Linked DNA regions of Macaca mulatta. The main gene of each other region encodes a partner of the protein of the gene in region 2 in a complex. Links are inferred from orthologs where the notes say so. Each region holds a gene or a part of one and is shown on either strand. Other genes may lie near its edges. The genes, in order: PPP4R1, PPP4R2, PPP4R3B, PPP4R4, PPP4R3A and PPP4C.

What was found.
Region 1: PPP4R2 (region 2) and PPP4R1 share a complex: the UniProt entries of both Homo sapiens proteins name them as parts of the PP4 complex. The link is inferred for Macaca mulatta from reciprocal best matches to the Homo sapiens genes PPP4R2 and PPP4R1.
Region 3: PPP4R2 (region 2) and PPP4R3B share a complex: the UniProt entries of both Homo sapiens proteins name them as parts of the PP4 complex. The link is inferred for Macaca mulatta from reciprocal best matches to the Homo sapiens genes PPP4R2 and PPP4R3B.
Region 4: PPP4R2 (region 2) and PPP4R4 share a complex: the UniProt entries of both Homo sapiens proteins name them as parts of the PP4 complex. The link is inferred for Macaca mulatta from reciprocal best matches to the Homo sapiens genes PPP4R2 and PPP4R4.
Region 5: PPP4R2 (region 2) and PPP4R3A share a complex: the UniProt entries of both Homo sapiens proteins name them as parts of the PP4 complex. The link is inferred for Macaca mulatta from reciprocal best matches to the Homo sapiens genes PPP4R2 and PPP4R3A.
Region 6: PPP4R2 (region 2) and PPP4C share a complex: the UniProt entries of both Homo sapiens proteins name them as parts of the PP4 complex. The link is inferred for Macaca mulatta from reciprocal best matches to the Homo sapiens genes PPP4R2 and PPP4C.

The regions. Positions count from the first base shown.
Region 1 is NC_133423.1:80,509,600-80,513,016, reverse strand, and holds part of PPP4R1 (serine/threonine-protein phosphatase 4 regulatory subunit 1), read left to right. Parts: intron 1-2,768; coding exon 2,769-2,889; intron 2,890-2,977; coding exon 2,978-3,112; intron 3,113-3,417. UniProt on the Homo sapiens protein: Regulatory subunit of serine/threonine-protein phosphatase 4. May play a role in regulation of cell division in renal glomeruli. The PPP4C-PPP4R1 PP4 complex may play a role in dephosphorylation and regulation of HDAC3.
Region 2 is NC_133407.1:136,556,174-136,559,499, forward strand, and holds the end of PPP4R2 (serine/threonine-protein phosphatase 4 regulatory subunit 2), read left to right. Parts: intron 1-493; coding exon 494-783; intron 784-1,038; coding exon 1,039-1,364; 3' UTR 1,365-2,826; downstream 2,827-3,326. UniProt on the Homo sapiens protein: Regulatory subunit of serine/threonine-protein phosphatase 4 (PP4). May regulate the activity of PPP4C at centrosomal microtubule organizing centers.
Region 3 is NC_133418.1:69,049,252-69,052,751, forward strand, and holds part of PPP4R3B (serine/threonine-protein phosphatase 4 regulatory subunit 3B), read left to right. Parts: intron 1-526; coding exon 527-622; intron 623-1,829; coding exon 1,830-1,871; intron 1,872-3,500. UniProt on the Homo sapiens protein: Regulatory subunit of serine/threonine-protein phosphatase 4 (PP4). May regulate the activity of PPP4C at centrosomal microtubule organizing centers.
Region 4 is NC_133412.1:167,449,268-167,453,512, reverse strand, and holds the start of PPP4R4 (serine/threonine-protein phosphatase 4 regulatory subunit 4), read right to left. Parts: upstream 2,801-4,245; 5' UTR 2,657-2,800; coding exon 2,540-2,656; intron 1,074-2,539; coding exon 1,000-1,073; intron 1-999. UniProt on the Homo sapiens protein: Putative regulatory subunit of serine/threonine-protein phosphatase 4.
Region 5 is NC_133412.1:164,713,020-164,716,278, reverse strand, and holds part of PPP4R3A (serine/threonine-protein phosphatase 4 regulatory subunit 3A), read left to right. Parts: intron 1-1,200; coding exon 1,201-1,343; intron 1,344-1,829; coding exon 1,830-2,020; intron 2,021-2,470; coding exon 2,471-2,697; intron 2,698-3,259. UniProt on the Homo sapiens protein: Regulatory subunit of serine/threonine-protein phosphatase 4. May regulate the activity of PPP4C at centrosomal microtubule organizing centers.
Region 6 is NC_133425.1:28,485,439-28,489,524, reverse strand, and holds the start of PPP4C (serine/threonine-protein phosphatase 4 catalytic subunit), read left to right. Parts: upstream 1-1,286; 5' UTR 1,287-1,325; intron 1,326-1,547; 5' UTR 1,548-1,610; coding exon 1,611-1,708; intron 1,709-4,086. UniProt on the Homo sapiens protein: Protein phosphatase that is involved in many processes such as microtubule organization at centrosomes, maturation of spliceosomal snRNPs, apoptosis, DNA repair, tumor necrosis factor (TNF)-alpha signaling, activation of c-Jun N-terminal kinase MAPK8, regulation of histone acetylation, DNA damage checkpoint signaling, NF-kappa-B activation and cell migration.

The DNA.
Region 1 (3,417 bases), on a different chromosome or scaffold from region 2:
TGTCTTACTGTCAGTGAATTTCCTCAACTTTTTTTTTTTTTTCCTGAAAATGTCTTTAGTTCATTTTTATATTATTTTTATCATGGTGAAATACACATAGCCAAATTTGCTATTGATGACATTTAGTACATTCACAATGTTGTGGAACCATTCCCTCTAGTTCTAAAATGTTAACCTCCTGAAAAGAAAAATGCATGTCCAATAAGCATCTACTTACTATCTATGGATTTGCCTATTGTGGACATGTCATGCAAGTGGAATCATACCACATGTGGCCTTTTGTGCTTGGTTTCTTCATCTAACAATGCTTTCAGTTGTCCCTCCATATTGTATCCTCTAGCTGAACTTGCCTCCCTTTTTGTGGTTGAGTAAATATTCCATTGTATGGATATACCACATTCATTTAGTGCATTCATCTGTTGAGGAACATTTGGGTTGGGTGTGTGGTCTTTTGTGAATAGTGCTGCTAGGAACGTTTATGTACAAGATTTAATCCTTGAAATCTGTTTTCAGTTATTTTGAGGTGGATTTGCAAGGCCATATGGTAATTCTGTGTTTAATTCATTGAGGAACTGCCACACTTTTCTACAACAGCTGTACCATTTTACATTCCCATCAGCAACGTATGGGAGTTCCAATTTCTGTATGTCCTCACTAACACCTATTTTCCTATTAAATTTTAAAAATATTTCTAAATTGGCCAAATAATAATTGTGCATATTTATAAGGTATGTAATGATGTTGCAATACATATTGGATAGTGGTTAGATAAGGGCAATTAGCATATCCATCACTCGCTTATCATTGATAGCTGTTCTGATGGGTGTGGAACAGCACCTCGTTGTGGTATGATTCACATTTCCCTAATGACTAATGATGTTGAACACTTTTTCATAAGCCTGTTAACCATTTGTGTATATTTTGTGGAGAAATGTCTATCCAAGTCTCTTGCACATTTTTAAATTGGGTTGTTTATCTTAAGTTGTGTTGTTGAGTTGTAAGAGCTATTTATATATTCCGGATCATACACCTCACGTGTATTTTCAGATGACGTCTTTGCTGAGTATGGGATGTGGGGCTGACAGTTTGTCTTTCAGTGTATTAAAAATGCCTCTCCATTGAGTTCTGGCTTTCCCACTTCTGACTCGAAATGCACGCCTCCTCTTCCGCTATGTAGTGCCGGGATGTGAGTCCAGCTAGTCAGGATCAAGCTGGGCTTGCGTTTTGTCATTGCTGTGGTTACCTTCAGTGTATTTGGGGCTTCAGTTTTCCTCACTGTGGGCTGCCACTACCGTTGCCGTTTGCTGAGGGTGGGAGCTGGGGCACCAGTGGTCTTGTAGTGCGAGTATTCCACCCAGGCTTGAGCTATACCTGCACCCCTGTGTAATGGGTGGGGCCTCCTGTCTGTGCTTGGTCTCGGGCAGGACTTCCTGCAGCTCCTCCTAGAATAAGGAGCGTTAGTTCTCCTCTCCCCCAGTTGCAGCGTTTTTGCTGGCCCACAGGGTAGACAGGCTTTGGGCCCCTCCACCAGCAGGTTAAGCCTTTTGCTTTGTGTGAGTGAAGGGCCCAGTAGAGTGCTTGGTGATTCATGGCTGTCCGTCAGCCGCTTCTGCCTGCTATGAGACACCGCTCCTGTTTCTCCTGACTGTCTTTCTTGAAGCACCCATGGGAGGCAGGCACCCTGTGGAAGTCAGAAGGTCAGAAGGTTGCCTGGGGATGTGAGCTCCCTGTGTCGGGCACATATGGCTTTGCTTGAGCCACTCCATGCTCGTGCCAGCCACCATCTGGCCCTGGGCAGCTGGCTACAATTCGAGCTGATTTCTCCCCACCCTGTTATGTGCTGGCAGGTGCCCTGTCCCTCCGGGCTCTGCTGAGGGGGAAAGTTAGGCTGTTTGGGTGCTTTGCAACCCCAGCTCTCTGATGGGCTCAAGAAAAGATCTTGAAGTTTATATAGCTTTTTCTACTGTAGGGTCAGTGACATTCTTGCAGTTTTCTGTATTCTAAGCAGAAACTGATGTCCTATTTGGAATTCTGATTTTGAACTTTGTCAAAAAGTACGTGTGTCTGTTTGAGGATGTATGTTTGTATGCACAGGTGCATTGTCATGACTGCATAATCTACGTTCATGTTACAGTTGACTTCCTGCTTATTAGAAATGTAAATCATCTCGAACATAAAATCTGAAAGGCAAAAGTCTCACATCCAAGGTATTTCTTCAAGGGCATCATTGAAGCCTTCAGGTTAGCTTGGTGGATGTCATGAAAGTCTCAGGGCCCCTCAGATGTGATGGGAAGGTCGCTGGAGGACACCCTCCCTCTGTTATCCCTAGCGAGTCCCTTCCAGGAAGGCTCCTCAGAGCCCCGACAGGTACACAGCAGACTACCTGCCCCTGCGGGAACTTCTTACTGAGAAACTTGATTGTAGATGGAAGCTTCTCAGCACGTTCCACACTGTAACCATGGATCAGTGTGGGCCACGTTCCAGTTGAACATACTAGGAAGTGCTTTGCTTTCTCAGTTCCCATGGATGCAGAGCTCTACGGCTTTTGTTTTCCTTACACTCTACGGAACTTGAATAGCATGTAAGTGCGTTTCCAGATGCAGAGACTGGAGGTAACTGGACAGGAGAGGTCCGCTTAGTCGCTCCTCTTTGCATGTGTTTGAGACAGGTGCTCCGTAATCCAGTATTGCAGATTATTTAAATGAGAACCTGTTTTCATTTGTCTCGCCGATTTTTAAACATTATCTTTTTGTAATTCCTTTTTGTAGACAGCTGATTTTACTTCTAGAGTTATATAGTCCCAGAGATGTTTATGACTATTTACGTCCCATTGCTCTGAATCTGTGTGCAGACAAGGTTTCTTCTGTTCGTTGGATTTCCTACAAGTTGGTATGTATTGAACTTTTAAAATTTTAGACCAGTAAACTCTAAGATCCTAGATTGGAAGCTGTTCCTCACTTCACACTCACCCTCCCAGGTCAGCGAGATGGTGAAGAAGCTGCACGCGGCAACACCACCAACGTTCGGAGTGGACCTCATCAATGAACTTGTGGAGAACTTTGGCAGATGTCCCAAGTGGTCTGGTCGGCAAGCCTTTGTCTTTGTCTGCCAGGTAAGCGAGGCCCTGGGCTTACCTGTTTGTGAGTTTTTCTCCTAGAAGAATGTCTTCTTTGACTTCCTACCTCTCTCTCATCCTCTTCCTTATTCTTAAGAAACAGAACCTTACGGTAGCCTGGCTGTTTCTAGGATCACCTGTCCCCATTGTTGGGCATCTGCTGGCCCCTCCCTCCCAGCCAGCCAAGCCCCTTCTTCACTGGCACGCACCACACACACCCCACGTGCCTGCTGTACATGCATGTTCCACACCACACACCACATGCCTGGAATGTGCGTGTTCTGCTCTACACACATTCAGAC
Region 2 (3,326 bases):
TTATGTAGGGTCTAAAAGTAAAGTAGATATGATCCATTTTATTTGTTATTTCTGAAAGTTACTTGAAAAGAGAAAAGATCTTTATAAATAAATTGGTTTTGTGAATCGTTTCTCACTGTAGTTCATAAAAGGACACCTTTTATTTTTATCTTCAAATTTTCTGTATCATTTTAAGGGAAGGAAGACTAATTGAGGGAGAGGACTTAGAGAGTATGTGTGTATGGAAGACTTGTGGGTTTATTGTAGGAGAATATTTAACTTACTGGAGAATTGCACAGAAAGGTCATACAGCTTTTCTGAGTCCACCTGGGAATTATTCATCAAACGGTTTAGGTTACCTTGAAATTATTCTCTTGTGTTTTTCTTTGCTCAGGTGTTACAATTTAACTTTGACACTAAAATACAATTTAAAACATTATTTAACCTTAAAAATGGGGATGTAGAAGATGGGGAAAATAATCTTATTAATGACACTTTAAAAAAACATTTACAGTGACTCTTCGACATCTGAATCACAAGTTTCCTCAGTTAGCCCTTTGAAAAATAAACATCCAGATGAAGATGCTGTGGAAGCTGAGGGGCATGAGGTAAAAAGACTCAGGTTTGACAAAGAAAGTGAAGTCAGAGAAACAGCCAGTCAGACAACTTCCAGTGAAATTTCTTCAGTTATGGTAGAAGAAACAGAAGCATCATCTTCATCTCAGGATAAAGACAAAGAAAGCCGTTGTACCCGGCAGCACTGTACAGAAGAGGATGAAGAAGAGGATGAAGAGGAAGAAGAAGGTATTTAGAGACCATCTGTAAAAGGGTGGAGTAAGGAGATCCTCAAATTCTTGTACTTCATTTTTTTCGTGAAAGAATTTTACATAATGGAACTCCTTATAATGCTGATGTTGGGCTTTTCTCCCACCTGTATGTAGTTGCTGCTGAATTTCAGGGGATGTGATTTGAACTATAGAATATCAGAATTCATGAAACTTAACTGTGGAGGTATTTTGAAAATAAAATTTAACTACAACAACATTTGCTTATTTTTAGAGTCTTTTATGACATCAAGAGAAATGATCCCAGAAAGAAAAAATCAAGAAAAAGAATCTGATGATGCCTTAACTGTGAATGAAGAGACTTCTGAGGAAAATAATCAAATGGAGGAATCTGATGTGTCTCAAGCTGAGAAAGATTTACTACATTCTGAAGGTGGTGAAAACGAAGGCCCTGTAAGTAGTGGTTCTTCTGACTGCCGTGAAACAGAAGAATTAGTAGGATCCAATTCCAGTAAAACTGGAGAGATTCTTTCAGAATCATCCATGGAAAATGATGATGAAGCCACAGAAGTCACCGATGAACCAATGGAACAAGACTAACTATTTAGAAACATTTAGATGCAGTATTTTACATACAGTTCTGGTTTTAACACTGTATAAAACTTTTATGTAATAAAGTGGACCTTTAGTTTTACAAGAGAAGCAGGTTGTAAAATAAAGTACTTTATGGATAATTCCTGAAAGAGTTGTACATGTAAGAACTGTGAATATCAGCTCCTCTGGGTCCTGCTTACCTTACCGCTGACTTTTCTTTCTTTCTTTTTTTTGGTCTGGGCAAATCAGTGGTTTGTGTATAGATTTTTTTTTTTTTTTAATTTAGGATTAAAGTTTTTAAACTGGAAGGTAATTATAATTTTGAAAAGTTTTTTGAGATTATCACTTTTAGTTTATACATATGCAAGAAGCTTTTTGTCTTGTCTCTTTCTGATAGCTCTAGCAGTTTTCATATTTTGGTCATAGTTTCAACATTTTAACATGTGAATTATAGGGTTTCATGCTGGTTTCCAGATTTTATTGTTTGGCTACGTACTATGGAACTTTAAGTCATATATACATACATATATATATATTATTCTAAGGGGGGAAATGTTATATTTTTCTGTTTCTATAAGAGATGAATACAGTGGATACTTTTTCTATTGGTAATGATTGAGTTCACCTCTTTCAGAAGACATTTTCTTTCTCTTCTGAGTAATTGAAATAAAATCTGGCCCTTGTGAAACCCTGGAAATCTTAAGTCTGTTGAAATACCAGGTTAAACACATTCCAAGAGATCTGTTCAAACTCAAATTCTTTTGTATACTTCTGAGGTGCCTGAGAAAAAGACTTCATTATTTATGAGAAAATATGCTTTATCTTGGAAATTGTGTTCAAATGTTAGCTTACTATTTTGTAGAATGAATGTTTATGAAGCTGATATGAGACCATCTCAGAAGAACCAAGCAGGTTCCTTGACCTTTTGCTTGCTTTTCTGAACATTGTGAATATTACACGTGTCTTTCTAAATTATTCTAGAGTATGCAAATGTCAATGGTATGGAACACCACTGTACTGGAAGAATTAATATATTACTTTAGTATGTACCTGAGCTAAATGACTGAAGCTTTAGGGGTGCATAGAAACCACCATAATTTGTATGACATTTTGGAGTGAATTAAATATTTTTGAACATGCTTCTTCGACAGCCAGTGTTATATTTTTCAGATCAACACAAAGCACAATGATTACTCTAAATTCAATATTTTCAAATTTACATATTTAAAGTCATGCAAACTGCAACTTCCCTGTCAAAATTACTGGCTGCCAAATTTATACCTGTTTCTTCAACTGTACCTTTTGATATTTAGAGTTTTTAAATTTCTGTAAAGTAGATTTTGTAGAATGTAATGTGTTCACTGCCTTTGTGAAGCGGTATATAATTGTATAATTTCTGTGTGTAAACTGAATGCTTGGGCTTTCAATACAGTATTCATATAAAGCAATAAATATTAATGTTATGAAATATTCGAGTACATTTTTATCAAAATATGGAAGAATCCCCTTTTTTTAAGTTTCAGATACCTGAAATACACAGATGGGCTTCTAAAACTGATGCAAACAGTTTCTGACACTGTATCATATGCTTTTGGGTGATTTGGGGGGCAACCACAAGTTTTGCGTTTTGACTACTTAAATCGTCATGACTATAAATACCAAAACTATTTGGATCCATTTATGTTTGTAGGATAGTATACTACTGACTGACTTGACTGTCAAGTTCACAACAGCTAGATGATATATTTATGACTATGTCTAATAGTTAAAATCTGAATATTGATTTACTATATCCAAGAGGGGAGAAAAATTAAACATGTAAATTTTTAAAAATTTTTTCAAAAATGTTACAATGAAGCAAATTTAAGTTTAGAAATTTTGAGATTTTCTTTTGAATATTTATGAAATTGTCAGTAAACCTACCTAAGATCCTGTGACCTTTGATATTTTTTATTTTAATTGTAGTGC
Region 3 (3,500 bases), on a different chromosome or scaffold from region 2:
GAAATATGTGGAGCATAATAGAACATTAGCCACTATCTGAAAATATTTGTTAACCTGAAGAGTCACTTAAAAGGAAGTTAGTTAGGAGAATTTTATGAAACTAGTAAGTTGAAACATGAGCACACCCTGTGTAATACTATCAGTTCCATTTCTGAGTATATACTCTAGGGAATGTTTGTGCATATGCATGACAGGTACAAGAATGTTGCTGCATTGTTTGTGGTAGGAAAATGAATAAAATATGTTTTTTTCAAATAATGGAATACTATATAGCAGTTAAAATAATTGAATTTTGATGTATCAACTGAATAATTCCCCAAAATATCAAGGTGAATGGGTACAAAAGCACATCACAGAGAGTTTTCTTGCAGAATGGTTCCATTTATATAAATAAAAATAATGCATTTTTTATGTTCATTTTAATAAAACACTTCCGGCTTACAGAAATATATAGATAATAGTATAACAGACACTCATATACTCCCTGTTGGCTTTATCAAAACTAACTTGCCATATTTTTTTTCAGATTTTTTTTTAAAACATTACAGATATAGTTGGAGTTTCGTATGTACCCCTTCACATTCCCATTCCCATTCTACCCCCTCTTCCTCCATCTCTCAAGGTATGCTGAATTTGGAGTTTATCACTCCTGTGTTTACTTATATTGTTATGATGTGTATATACGGTATTATTTTTCATATTTTCAAAGTTGCTATAAATTTAATGTCTGTCATACGTATTATTCTGCATATTTTTTATCCAGTGTTATTTTTGAGATCTGTTCGTATTGATACCTGTTCATATTGATCTAATTCATATTGAAATAGAGTTCTTATTTAATTTTAACTCCTACATAATCCTCTCTTATGAGTATGCTGTAATAGAGCCATTCTGCCTCTAATGTGCATTTGTTTCTAGCTTTTTGCTATTACAAATAATGCTCCAGTTACATTCTTGTGTTTCCCTATGCACATGTGCCTTGATGTGCTCTAGAATGTATGCCTAGAAATTGGAACTTATTTATAATGGCCTACTTAATTGAGTTTTTTGTTTTTTAAATTTAAAGCATAAACACATTTATTATTCTGGAGTTTTAAAAATTCCTGTATTTTCTGTTTTTAAAAATGAGATGAATAATGGATGATCAAATGCAAATATTATTTTAAAAAATTAAAATTAAAAAAACAAAAATGAGATGAAGAGAAATATCCTAATTGTTGAATGATGAATAGGAGAAGGTAAAAGAAGATATGTTGGTTTTATCCCTGGTTGTAATCTTACTTTTTATCAGAATATATATGCTATGTTGTCTTTTAATAATTCTATAGCTACATCCACTTTTGTAAAAGATTGCAGATATAGTTATAATTTTGCTGAAGCAACTAAGTCTTTTTTTTTTTTTTTTTGAGACGGAGTCTCGCTCTGCCACCCAGGCTGGAGTGCAGTGGCCGGATCTCAGCTCACTGCAAGCTCCGCCTCCTGGGTTCACGCCATTCTCCTGCCTCAGCCTCCTGAGTACCTGGGACTACAGGCGCCCGCCACTGCGCCCGGCTAGTTTTTTGTATTTTTTAGTAGAGACGGGGTTTCACTGTGTTAGCCAGGATGGTCTCGATCTCCTGACCTCGTGATCCGCCCGTCTCGGCCTCCCAAAGTGCTGGGATTACAGGCTTGAGCCACCGCGCCCGGCCAAAGCAACTAAGTCTTAATGGTTATTTTGAGGGTAAAATGAAATTATGATTGAAGTCATGCATTGTATATTATAAAGTACTAGGGAAAGGTGGGATATTATTACTGAAGTATTTGATTTTAATTTTTAATTTTTTTATTAGATAATATAGTTGGATCAAACAAAAACAACACAATTTGCCCTGGTAAGTATAAATTCATACTTTACGAATACATGCAAATTATAAACTTTTTTTCTACTTTAAGTGTAATGCACTTATATAAGGCTAAGAAAAGCATATTTTGGCATAAAAACAAAATCCAAAAATTTATTTTTGTCTGTATTGTAAAGAAAAAATTCCACTATCTCCAGTATTAAAAATAGAAAACTAGTTGAATTCTGTTGTTTTTTCCCTGAAAATGTATAGCTTGTTTTCTGACGTTGTTATGAGAAGGCATTGTCTGAAAGTCGAGGATTTAGTTCTTATTTTTGAAATGTAGTAACTAAGACCAGTTACTTTGCAACTAACTTTCATGACCACTTTATGCTTATTGTTCATGAATCTGAGTCAAAAAGTAGTTGTTCCTATTTAGAACAGGCATACTAGGTATGGGCTTGATACTAATAAAGACATGTGCTGTGTACACCTAGTGTCCCATGCCTTTTCTGCCAGCCTCATCAAATCTCAAAGGGGAGCCAGTTTCAAATAAGGAGGCTGTTCAGAGATTGGACTATTTAGAGATATGAGTAATTTCTTGTCCCAGTTATAAAGATGAAGACAAGAGATTTGTTTAACACTGTAGGTCATTGTTTTTATTTTGTTTGTTTTTTTTTGTTTGTTTTGTTTTGAGATGGAGTCTAACTCTGTCGCCCAGGCTGGAGTGCAGTGGCACAATCTTGGCTCACTGCAACTTCCGCCTCCCAAGTTCAAGCGATTCTTCTGCCTCAGCCTCCCAACTTTGTATTTTTAGTAGAGATGGGGTTTCACCGTGTTAGCCAGGGTGGTCTTGATCTCCTGACCTCGTGATCTACCTGCCTCGGCCTCCCAAAGTGCTGGGATTAGAGGTGTGAGCCACTGCGCCTGGCCTGTTTTTGTTTTTTCAATTTAATTTCCACATACAGCATTGAGGGTCAAGTTTAAAAAATCTTTTGTAATAAAATTTGGGAATTGAGAAATAAAGAAGAATTGCTTTTTTTTGTTTGTTTGTTTGAGACAGAGTCTCACTCTGTCACCCAGGCTAGAGTGCAGTGGCATGATTTCGGCTCACTGCAGCCTCCACATCCTGGGTCCAAGCAATCTCCCACCTCAGCCTCCCAAGTAGCTAGGATTACAGGTGCATGCCACCACGCCCACCTAATTTTTTTTGTATTTTTAGTAGAGACGGGGTTTCACCATGTTGGCCAGACTGGTCTCAAACTCCTGACCTCAGGCGATCCACCCACCTTGGCCTCCCAAAGTGCTGGGATTACAGGCATGAGCCACCGCACCTGGCCAGGAATTGCCTTTAATGGTGAGGGACTAGTTCAAATTTTGGCTGTAGTACTGGCTGTTATAGAAATTGGTCTGGAGCAAGTGAAACTCTTTACTTGCATTTAAAGTAGAAACAATCCTTGAAATATCAGAATTTTATTTTGTGTATTTATGTGTGATGGTCATTCTGTTATTAGAAAGAATGCTAATTTATTCCCAATAGCATTGTAGTTCCCCAAAATATTTATGTATATAATCTCAAGTAAATAAAATAGTTGTACTAGATGATGTCATTTTTTTAAAAATTCTGTAAGACTGTGATTTTATAATTTCCTTACAGCTTAATATTTCCTTGTCTAGCCA
Region 4 (4,245 bases), on a different chromosome or scaffold from region 2:
TAGGCTAAAAAAAGTAATTAAGAAAATTGAAGACCTGGAGAGGGAGTTTTTGTTTGTTTGTTTGTTTGTTTTTACAGGATCATTCAATGAATAACATGGGACTGGAAACATGATCTGTAAACAAGAAAGGAGAACAAGAAACTTGCCAGTACCTGGAACTGGCACTGAGCTAAGGAAACAAGGATGACAAATATCCTAGGAGGTAAATTACATCAGTTTTCAAAATCTGATTCTGGAAAATAAGAGTGACTAATTTGCCAAAAGGGAAAAATATGTTGTGTAAGCTAATGAAAAATTTTAAATATACACAAAATGCTGTAGGAAATTTGTTTCTAAAGGATTTTAATCAATTAAAACATCATTAATGGTCACTGTACTAGTTTTTAAGATGCTCAATCTACAAGACAATGTTTTAAATAGTTCAGAAAAATCTTGTAAATATTCGCAGTAACCATTTGCCTTAAGCAATTCTGTAGAGCCTGTGAAATGGTTTGAAATCAACTAAGTTTCCAAAACCCCTCAGACAAAATCATAAAGCTTGCATAGCAAAAGTACTACAAACAGGATATCCTGAACAGCAAAATGAACTACCATATTTGTGGATTTTTTTCCATATAGTAGATCCCATATAATGTGCCTACTCTACAATGAACTTAAAACTAATCCTTGTATACTCAAGTCTCATCTAAACTTACTGAATCTTAAGTGAGAAAAACCAATGCCAGAAAAGAAAAAAAGGATGAGGTTCAACTCAAACCATCTGCTCTTCCTCCTCCAAGCAACATTCTATAAATTAGGTGTTTTATTTAAATTCTCAAATTCATAAGTCCACAGCCAAATCTAATGTATAATATAGTTAAGTACTATGCACACAAAAGTACTCTGTTCAAGTGGCTAAGTAAATCTGAACATAACGGGAACATACATTTTAGAAAGCATTGATCTCTGCTGCCACAGGGGGAAAAAAAAGAGCAATTTCACAGAAAGACTAGGAAATACCTGAGCAGATAAACAGCCCTTTCAATATCACTGAGGTCTTCATCGACTGTCAATCTTTCTATTTCTTCTGGTGTCTGTCAAGGGTAAAATACACATTTATGCACCACAAACATTGGGTCAGTCTTGCCTCCCAACCTCCCAGTGACCCTCTATGAGGATAAACGAATGAAAAAGTTTCACAATTAAGCATTAACAATGAAAACTAATCAAGGAGCTGAGGATACCAGGCGACATCAATCACGGAAGTCTCTAATTGGGTGGTCGAATTTGGGGAGGGGACTGTTTTTTTTCTGTTTTTATCCTTCTAGCTTCTGGATTGCAGCTTGAAAATCGCATCGTGGCTTCAGAACCTTGGCTGAAATCCATTTCATACGCATGTTATAAAACGAATAAATACACACACTTTTATCTCTAATACCTCACGGCTATTTCTCCAGCATTTTCCACCCCAAGAAATGCTAAAAGGGGGATGGATGAACACTGCAGCCGAGCAGGCATGAAAAGGACAAGATCTGGAGTGGGGGAGGGAAGGAAATCAACTCTGGGGCTGGAAGAAACCAGAGATTTGAGATATTGCGGCAGGTGGGAGTGAGAGGAGCTAAAGCAGCTAATTAAGCGATGGCCAGGGGAAAGGGGTCCTGTCCGTAAACTAGGTTTGCTGGCGCTAAAGGTTGGAGCCTCTGGGAGGAAGATGACTCTGCGGGGTGGGAGAGCCGGTGGGGGTGGGGGGAGCAAGCTGAAGGTTGACTCCCTCAAGGGATTGGGGAGCAGGGTCCCAGCTAGAGTCCTGGAGGGGTTGGGAGGAAAGGATGCGCGGTGACTCAGGAGGGCGGCAAAGGGTCGCGAGGGCTTGTAGACGGGGACCAGGACCACACTGAGAAAGGGTGCTGGCTGGGAAGCGAGAGGAGGCCGGGCTGCCTCGAGGGCAGAGGGACCCGAGCTTGATCTGACTTGGTGGGCTGGGGGTGAGCGGACGGGACGCTGGGTGGTGTCTCGGGGAGAGGTGGGGGGAGGAGTCGGGAATGTGTGGACCGAGGGGTGGGCCTGGGGCCAGAACCCGGGCGGCGTCAGCGGACCAGAGGTTGGGGAGCCCAGGAGAGGACCGGGTAGAGGTGGGCTGCGGCCTCGAGGGGCAGCTCCCGCGGGGTGGGGCGGGGGGCGGAAGGAAGGGGGTCCGCGACTGAGGACGCTGGGGCTGCCCCGAGGGCTGGGGCTCGGCCGTTCCTGGGGGTGAGCCGGGGGGATTCGGACGCCTCAGAAGGGGCAAGGGCCGCGGGGCTGGCGCCGGGTCGGGGCTGGGGCAGGGACCCGTCCCTTGCGGATGGGGATCCAGACTAGAGAGGACTGGGTCCGCGCTGAGGAAGGGTCCGGGAGGAGCTGGCTTAGGGCGGCACGGCAACAGGGGCTGGAGGAGGACGGAGGGGCCGGTCCGAGAGGGTCCCGGCGGCCCGAAGGAGGGGAGGGTGGTGGGGTGGGGCGGAGATCAGCGCGGGGCAGGCGGCCGGACGCCCTGAGGGCAGGTCCTCTCCCCGGGGCGCACCTTGAGGCTCCGGCGGACCGGCCTCTCGATGATGGTGAGCTCCTGCAGGTCCTCCATGTAGCCGAACAGGCTGTTCTGACTGAAATCCATCGCGGCGGCGGACGGCGGCGGATGCATGGACCGCCGGGCACCCTCGCCGCCCGGGCCGGAGCGGCCCCGGGATGCCGGACGCGCTCAGCCCCGCGGCCGCCCACCAGCAGGACTTTCTCCCGCTCTTGGCCGCCGGAGCCTAGCGTGAGGCTGGCGGGCGGCGGGAGCAAGAGCACGGCCCGGCGAGGGGGCGGGGCGGGCCCGGCGAGGGGGCGGGGCGAGGCGCGCGGGCGGGCTGTGGGGGCGGGGCCAGGGGCGGTGGCCCGCCACCTTGCCCACCTCGGCCCCGCCCCCTCCCGGGTGCCGCGCGCACGAGGCAGGACGCAACTGCCGCGCAACGACGCGGCGGCCCCGCCACCCCTCTGCGCCCGTTCCTCGCTGTCCTCCTAAACCCCCGTCCGCCCCCAACCAAGGGCGCCCCACCCCACGGCGCGTGCGCAGAGCCTTTTGCCTCCAGCAGCCGGCTGAGGCGGGCTGGGGGCGGGGCCTGGGGGCGGGGAGGCTGAGCCAATGAGAGCGGAAGCAGAGGAGAGTGAGCTGGCTGGGTTGCGGCTGCACCTGCTGACTTAACTAAGTGTCCGGTTATTCCCAGGACCGCCCACCCCAGCTGGCGGGTCGCGAACCCAGAGACCCCCCTAACACAACTCCAGCCCTAAGGGGAGCGCTGAGTGCCCAAAATAAGCAGTTAGAACGCGGGGTGCCGGGCTGACGGGGGAGGGGGCTGTGGGAATACAGCCCTGGAGGGGCTGGCTTTTGGGCAAGGGCAGCATTCGGAAAAGGCCTCCCGGAGAAGAGTCACTTAAACTGAATCTTAGCTTTCCCAAAAGAAATAATAAAAGCAAGCCCGTCTGGGGTTGAAGCCTGGGTGTGTTTGGTTGTGTTTGAGAAGTGCCGTCAAAGTAGAGCTCGGGGCTCGGGCACCGAGGGCTTGGCGAGGTGGGTAGAGGGAAGAGGACCTAGGTCGTTGGTGAAGAGAAGCCCTGCTCTGGACAGTCACGCTGAGTCCCTTGCACTTGGTTCTGTTAAGAATGGGACGAGATGGAAGGGGAATTGGGGAGGTTTTTTTGGACCTTAGGGACAAGTTATGTTCGTACTCCAGCTCGTCAGTCAGTCAGTAAGGCCCTTTTCTTTTTCGTTTTTATTTTCCACTCGTTCCTTCTCCACACCCATTCTTCTACCCGCCATATACACCCTCTCCTCTACTAAGGTATGTCCCAGTTCATGCACCTTATACAGCCTCAAAAGATACATGGTTTGTGTCTGTTTTTAACATACGTGAACGGCATTGTGATAAGAACTCATTCTGTTCCTTGTTTTCCTCTCAGTGTCTTAGAGATCTATCCATGTGACACTATACAACCAGAGTTCATTATTTATGACTAATAATAGTATTTGATTTGTGTGTCTATCATATTCTACTTATCAATTCCTCAAATAACGGACAATTAGGTCGCCAGCAGGTCCTTGCTACCACAGACTATGCTGGAATGGGTGTTAGACGTGTCCCTTACAGAACATAAGAAATCGAGTCCCTGGGTCATGAAGTCCACAGTATTTGGTTTCACTCTGTCATGTTGCCCTCCAGATGGCTTTGCCATTCACACCCACCAATGGCA
Region 5 (3,259 bases), on a different chromosome or scaffold from region 2:
TGTGACATGCTTTTAAAATATGCATGGCTACTGTGTGTGCTCACTTGGAAGTGGGAACTAAACTTTGAGTACACATGGAAGTAAAGAAGGGAATAACAGCAGATACCAGGGCCACTTGAGGGTAGAGAGTGGGAGAAGGTGAGCATTGAAAAACTACCTATTGGGTACTGTGCTTACTACCTGGGTGATGAAATAACCTATACACCAAACCCCTGTGACAGGCAGTTTACCCATATAACAAATACACACATGGACCCCTGAACCTAAAATAAAAATTGATTAGTAAAACAAATGTCCATGGCCAGGGATAGTGGCTTATGCCTGTAATCCTAGCACTTTGGTAGGCCAAGGTGGGAGGATTGCTTGAGGCCAGGAGTTAGAGACTAACTCGGGCAACATATAAAGACCCCATCTCTACAAAATTTTTTCTTTAAAACTTAGCCCTGTATGGTGGTGCATGTCTATAGTCCTAGCTGCTCGGGAGGCTGAGGCGGGAGGATTGCTTGAGCCCAGGAGTTCAAGGCTGCAGTGAGCTATGATCATACCACTATATCTCAACCTGGGTGCCAGAGCGAGACCCCATCTCTTAAAAAAATAAAATACACATACCCAGCGCACACATCAGAATCAGAATCACCTAGGGCAAGACCTGGGCATTTACTTTGTAAAGACCCATAGACCATAGATAAAGACCCAAAGACCCATAGATAGCTGGGCGCAATGGCTCACACCTGTAATCCTAGCACTTTGGGAGGCAGAGGCAGGTGGATCACCTGGGGTCAGGAGTTTGAGACCAGCCTGACCAGCATGGAGAAACCCCATCTCTACTAAAAATACAAAATTAGCCAGGCATAGTGGTGCATGCCTGTAATCCCAGCTACTCGGGAGGCTGAGGCAGGAGAATCGCTTGAATCCAGGAGGCAGAGGTTGCAGTGAGCCGAGATCACACCATCGCACTCCAGCCTGGGCAACAAGAGCAAAACTCCATCTAAAAAGAAAAAAAAAGACCCATAGATAAATTGGGGACTATTTTAGTAGCCAATATATGTTATTCCCATTTTTTATTGTTTGGCTATCTCTAAGATTATGTAATTTTATGAAATTAAGCTACTTTTGGTGGGTATGAATTTATTAAATTAAGCCTCATCTTGCTAAAATGACATTTTCCTATCATTTTTTCATTGCTATTCTTTTCTGTAGGAAGATATAAAATCATTAACTGCTCATGTAATTGAAAATTACTGGAAAGCACTGGAAGATGTAGATTATGTACAGACATTTAAAGGATTAAAACTGAGATTTGAACAACAAAGAGAAAGGCAAGATAATCCCAAACTTGACAGGTAAATGACCATACATTTAAACATATTCGTTCAACATCAAGTTGTGTGGTAGTGGCTTTATTGTTTATTTGATATTATTTGGCTTGACAAGGAACTGGCAAATCAGCAGATAGCAAATAGAAATTGTAGCTTCCTGTAAGGGTCAGCATAAATGTTTCCCTGAAGATTTAGCTGGTTGTTAGTATAATACCTTAGGCATGTATCAAGCTAGATAATGAAAAAAAAACAAAAAGACCAAACAGTGGCAGTGAGGCTTCATGTGTTCAAAATAAAATCAGAGCATTATATTACTTGCTTTAAATTTACAAGTTACTAAAGTTACAAATTATTCTTTAAAATTTTGTACATTAATCTACCTGGATTTACATTGATATTTTAATATTTGTAAATTTCTTGTTAATTCCCTATGTTAATTTAATAAGTCATCTGTAACAGTACAATTAAGTCCATATATGATTGTATTTACTCTTTCTTCTCTGCTCGTAGTATGCGTTCCATTTTGAGGAATCATAGATATCGAAGAGATGCCAGAACACTAGAAGATGAAGAAGAGATGTGGTTTAACACAGATGAAGATGACATGGAAGATGGGGAAGCTGTAGTGTCTCCATCTGACAAAACTAAAAATGATGATGATATTATGGATCCAATAAGTAAATTCATGGAAAGGAAGAAATGTATGTGGGAAAAAAATGGCCAAGAGAAAATTAAGGCTTTCTCACTCTAGATTTATTCTTATTTCTTGACAAAATGATTAGTTAATATTTGCTTGGAATGTGTGATGGCATAGGTTTTAAAGACTCCATTGCTTTATGGGATGTGACTGAATAGCAGTGTTGTGCAGGCAGAGACTAAGTTTTCTTAATTTGAGTTGAATAAGGAATATACTATTTCAGGAAGGGTAGCGATACTGAATATGATTCTGAAGGTTTCACTTCTTCTCTGGAGTAAGATCCAATGAATGGAATTTTGTTTAGTGTTTTGGTAAGCTTCATTTATAAATTGAACTTCAGTGTTTCTACCCAGTGGAGTAAGCTGGTTAAATGTATTTTAGTGTTACCTCATTTGGGGAAATTTAAAAAAGAATGAGTATGGGGGACAACTATTGACAGTATTCTCATTTTTAGTAAAAGAAAGTGAGGAAAAGGAAGTGCTTCTGAAAACAAATCTTTCTGGACGGCAGAGCCCAAGTTTCAAGCTTTCCCTGTCCAGTGGAACGAAGACTAACCTCACCAGCCAGTCATCTACAACAAATCTGCCTGGTTCTCCGGGATCACCTGGATCCCCAGGATCTCCAGGCTCTCCTGGATCCGTACCTAAAAATACATCTCAGACGGCAGCTATTACTACAAAGGTACATTTTTGACTCCCATTTTGCCCCCTTTTTTTCCAATTTAAGCTTTCTCAACAATTTTTACTAAGATTCCCTTTGGTTACTGCCACCTAGAACTGATTTAACATTCGCGAACTAGAGGATGAGTCCCCCCCACCACTTGAACTTATATAAATGTTGAGAAATTTCTGAAAGTCTTTTTATGACCAATGCAAAAGTCTGAATATAGTGTGAATTCTCACTTGGGTATTTTGCATTTTAGAACTGCAACTTCAAATTTGTATGTCAGAACATTCACAGAAATGTTTAAGGTTTTCAGTTATTCTCGAATAAATTTTCCTAATACCGAGATAAAGCCTTTGTGGGGAAATAATAATCTAAATATCTGGATACTTCTGACTTTACTTTGCCAGTTATGGTTTATTTTTTTAAGAAAACTTAAACATCTACTGTCACTAACATTTCATATAAGAAAAGAACAAGGCCAGGCGCTGTGGCTCACAAGGGCCCAGCACTTTGGGAGGCCGAGGCGGGTGGGTCACAAGGTCAGGAGATCAAGACAATTTTGGCTAACACAGTGAAA
Region 6 (4,086 bases), on a different chromosome or scaffold from region 2:
CAAGTATTTATGTATGCCTACGGTGCCAGGCCTTATTCTAACCACTGGGGCTGCAATACTTAAAAAGACAAAGTTGGATCCTCCAAGGATTGTGGTGGGGAAGGCTAACAAAATAACAAAAATATGTAACATTTTTTAAAAAGTGCAATAAAGTTACAAAGCCTAGCCCCAGCTCTGCTTGTTTCCCTAGCTGAAATGGAGGATGGCCGGGTGCGGTGGCTCACACCTGTAATCCCAGCACTTTGGGAGGCCCGAGGCAGGAGGATGGTTTGAGCCCAGGGGTTCGAAGTGACAGTGAGTTATGATAGCCCCACGGACTCCAGCCTGAGCGACAGAGAGAGACCCTGTCTCTAATTTAGGAAAAAGAAAGTTGCCGGGCGCGGTGGCTCAAGCCTGTAATCCCAGCACTTTGGGAGGCCGAGACGGGTGGATCACGAGGTCAGGAGATCGAGACCATCCTGGCTAACACGGTGAAACCCCGTCTCTACTAAAAAATGCAAAAAATTAGCCGGGCGAGGTGGTGGGCGCCTGTAGTCCCAGCTACTCGGGAGGCTGAGGCCGGAGAATGGCGTGAACCCGGAAGGCGGAGCTTGCAGTGAGCTGAGATCCGGCCACTGCACTCCAGCCTGGGCGACAGAGGAGACTCTGTCTCAAAAAAAAAAAAAAAAAAAAGTAAGTTGTGGCCGGGCGCGGTGCCTAACGGCTGTAATCCCAGCACTTTGGGAGGCGAAGGGGGGGCGGGGGCGGATCACCTGAGGTACGCAGTTCGAGACCAGTCTGACCAACAAGAAGAAACCACGTCTCTGTTAAAAATACAAAATTAGCCCGGCGTGGTGGCGCATGCCTGTAACCCCAGCTACTAAGGAGGTTGAGGCAGGAGGATTGCTTGAACCCGGGAGGCGGAGGTTGCGGTGAGCCGAGATCGTGCCATTGCACTCCCGCCTGGGCAAGAGCAAAACTCCGCCTCAAAAAGAAAGAAAGAAAGCTGTTAAAACATTTGTATAAAATGAAAGGGGAGGTGACTGTTCTAGGGTTTCTAACAGCCTCCACATCGCCCAGCAACAGAGCCCACAAAACTGCCCCTGGCCGCCACCGGGATCCTCCAGCTTCTTCCCCATCTGCGGTTGGGGAAGTGGTGCAGCGGTCGCTGCGAAGGAGGGAGAGGAGCGTGTATGACGCCACATCCGGCGCGCGGCGGAACTGGCTTCCCTTTGCTTCCGCGGCGGGGCCGGAAGTAGAAGCGGCGGCGGCGGTGGCTGCGGCCCAAAGCGGAGTGAAAGAGGGAGGCAGGGAGCCGGAGAGCCGGAACCGGAGTCGCAGCGGCGGTAATATTGCCAGACTCCTCTAAGTCACCGTCCTTAGCGCGGGACCGCGGGGTTCGACGGGAGTTAGCGGGGTTGCGGCCGCGCCGTGGGACGCTGGGGGGTCCTAAGGCCGATGTGAGGGGAGGCGGGGGTGGGGGAGCCGGGCCGGCTCTAGAATCGAGTTGTCCGCCCCGCGCCCCGCACGGACACTCTGATCCGCGGGCTCGTCTTGGCCTTTCCCAGGAGACCCCTGTGCGGTGCGGAGGGGGCGGCGGCCCCGACTCTGACCCGCGCCGGGGGTGGGCCATGGCGGAGATCAGCGACCTGGACCGGCAGATCGAGCAGCTGCGTCGCTGCGAGCTCATCAAGGAGAGCGAAGTCAAGGCCCTGTGCGCTAAAGCCAGGTGAGCCCATTGGCCCTGGGGAAGGGAGGCCAAGCCGCCGCCCACGGGTTCTGTCCTGGGGCAAACCCAACTGAGAACTTTGGGCTTGCCTCGCCCTGGAAGCTTTCCCAGAGAGGAGCAGGATGGAACCGCTGCCCTCGAGGAAAATCTAGCCTGCTCGGGGAAGACAGAGCGGATAAAGACACTTAAAGTATTAGACGATGTGTTTCCAGTAGAGTAAGAATGTTACGTAAAGTACTTAGGAAACTCAAGAAAACAAGTCCATCTGTCGGGGGTCGGAAGCTTGTTGGAGGGGGGCCGAACTGTGGGACAGTCCTCGAATAAGGAGGTGGTAAAAGAGCCAAAAATCAAAGATTTAAGACAGGAAAGTTAAAGACCCTGTGATTTATAAAAGTCCTTTAATTACAACAACCCTTAAAGGTTGGTGGTATTGTACTCATTTTACAGGTGAGAACTTTCATGTTAAAAGTTACCCACAAGTAGGGAATGAGGATCGGAAGCCAGCTCTTAGTGTCCCGTCCTTTTTCAGGCCATAATGCAAAAAGGTGTGGAGTTGGATTACTCACGTTCAGGGTGGGAGCCTGAGAAATCGTAGCAAGTAAGCTAGGGTAAAATTAAGCATGATAGGGAGGGAGGCCAGTTCAGAGTTCTGTGGGAAGTAGGATGAAGCAGTGGTTAAGGCTCTGGGTTTTGCAGTGTGAGATGGCTCTAGGTTTGAATCTGAACTCTGCCACTTTCTAGCTGTGTTAGTGATCTTAAGGTGTCTTTATTTGTAAAGCGGAGTTAATAGTACTTAATAAGATGGTTGTGAAGGTTCAGTGAGTTGGTGCTTGAGATGAGGTTAGCACAGTGTCTTGGTACAGCATACGTGCTTGATAATCACCAGGTATTCTATTTCTCTTGGAAGAGGGCAATAATGAGATGGGTTAAAGCCATCAGGGAAGGCTTTTGAGTGGAGGTAGGCCTTGAAGGATGAAGATAATTTGGCTAGCTGATGGAGGCAGGGCCAGTGAGGGAAGGGCATTCCAAGCAGAACGAATGTAACAGTGGAGGCCCTGAGATGTATGGGGAACAGTCAGGGGTTTAATTATTACCTGCCTCCTCTGGGGCACTGTGTGATTGTGGCTTCTACCAGGCTGGAGAATTGTGGCAGAAGAACCCGCAGAATTACCCTATGTTTATTGAACAATAAACATTGGCCTTTATAGGGCCACTGTTGGCCTGGCCCTGTACTGGTAAAAAAACTTTTGTCCATCTCTTCCCCCCAGCAATCCTGTGAGGTTGGAATCATTTGTTCCATTTTATCACACAGGAAGCCATGACTTGTAGAGGTCTGGTGACTTGACTGAGGTCACCCACTGAGGACGTGGCAGAGCTGGGTCCTGAATCTGTGGCCCTCAGGCTCTTTGCTTGGCCCTGCCTCACATAGACTCCCTGCAGCCAGACAGGGCCTGTGAGGGGATGTTGAGCAGGGTCGGCCTCTTTTTCACCACCTGTCTGTGGCTTTTCTCTTTTGCCAGCTCAAGAAAATGTCCCTGACCAGACTAGCCCCACGGTGTTTTTAGTTTTTCCCTCTCCCTCAGTCCTGATTGGCATTTTTAGGAACTTATACCTGTTATTGCGTGGCTCTGTTCTTTAACCCTGAAGTCTTATCTCCGTCACAGGCCCTGAATCAGCGTGGTGGTGATGGTAGGCAAAGCTTGGATAGCATGCTGGAGTTTGCAGACTAGCAGGAAGTTATGTATTCAGTCTCCATGGCTCCTTGCAACAGCCTAAGGAATAGGCAGGGCGGGCTGAGTATTTAGCCCCATTTCATAGCAGAGGAAACTGAGCCTCTGAGTAGATAATGTCTTGTCCAACTCACGCAGCTAGTCGGAGGGGAAGTTAGTTTTGCATCCAGGTCTTTGACTGTGCTCCGTGGTCACTGAGAACCAGGCAGAGGCATTTAGGTTTTGATGTGTGGTGTGAGGCAGCAGGGAGCCATGGAAGACTGAGGGGTGGAGGGTCCTGCCCAGTTGAAACTGAGTGAAACTAGGAGGTACTAGGCCAAGGCTCAGTCTGAAGCAGGGCCAGCTCTGATACCTGGTTATGGCCTCCTGGGGACCCAACAGAGACCCAGGCTGAGGCTGGTAGTGTCAAGAGCACCAGCTTGCCCAGAGGGCACAGAGATGCAGGTGAAACCCGTGGAAACACAGAGGTCCGCAGTGTCTGAGCTGAAATTGCTGCTCCTAGAAATACTAGCACAGAAGAGCTGAGCTTTTGAATCAGGTGGTCTTCAGTATGAATCTTTGCCTTGTCACCTAGAAACAATATGACCCTTGTCAAGTCACTTTCTGATTTTTTGAAATGATAATGACATGCAGTTGAGAGTCCGGGTA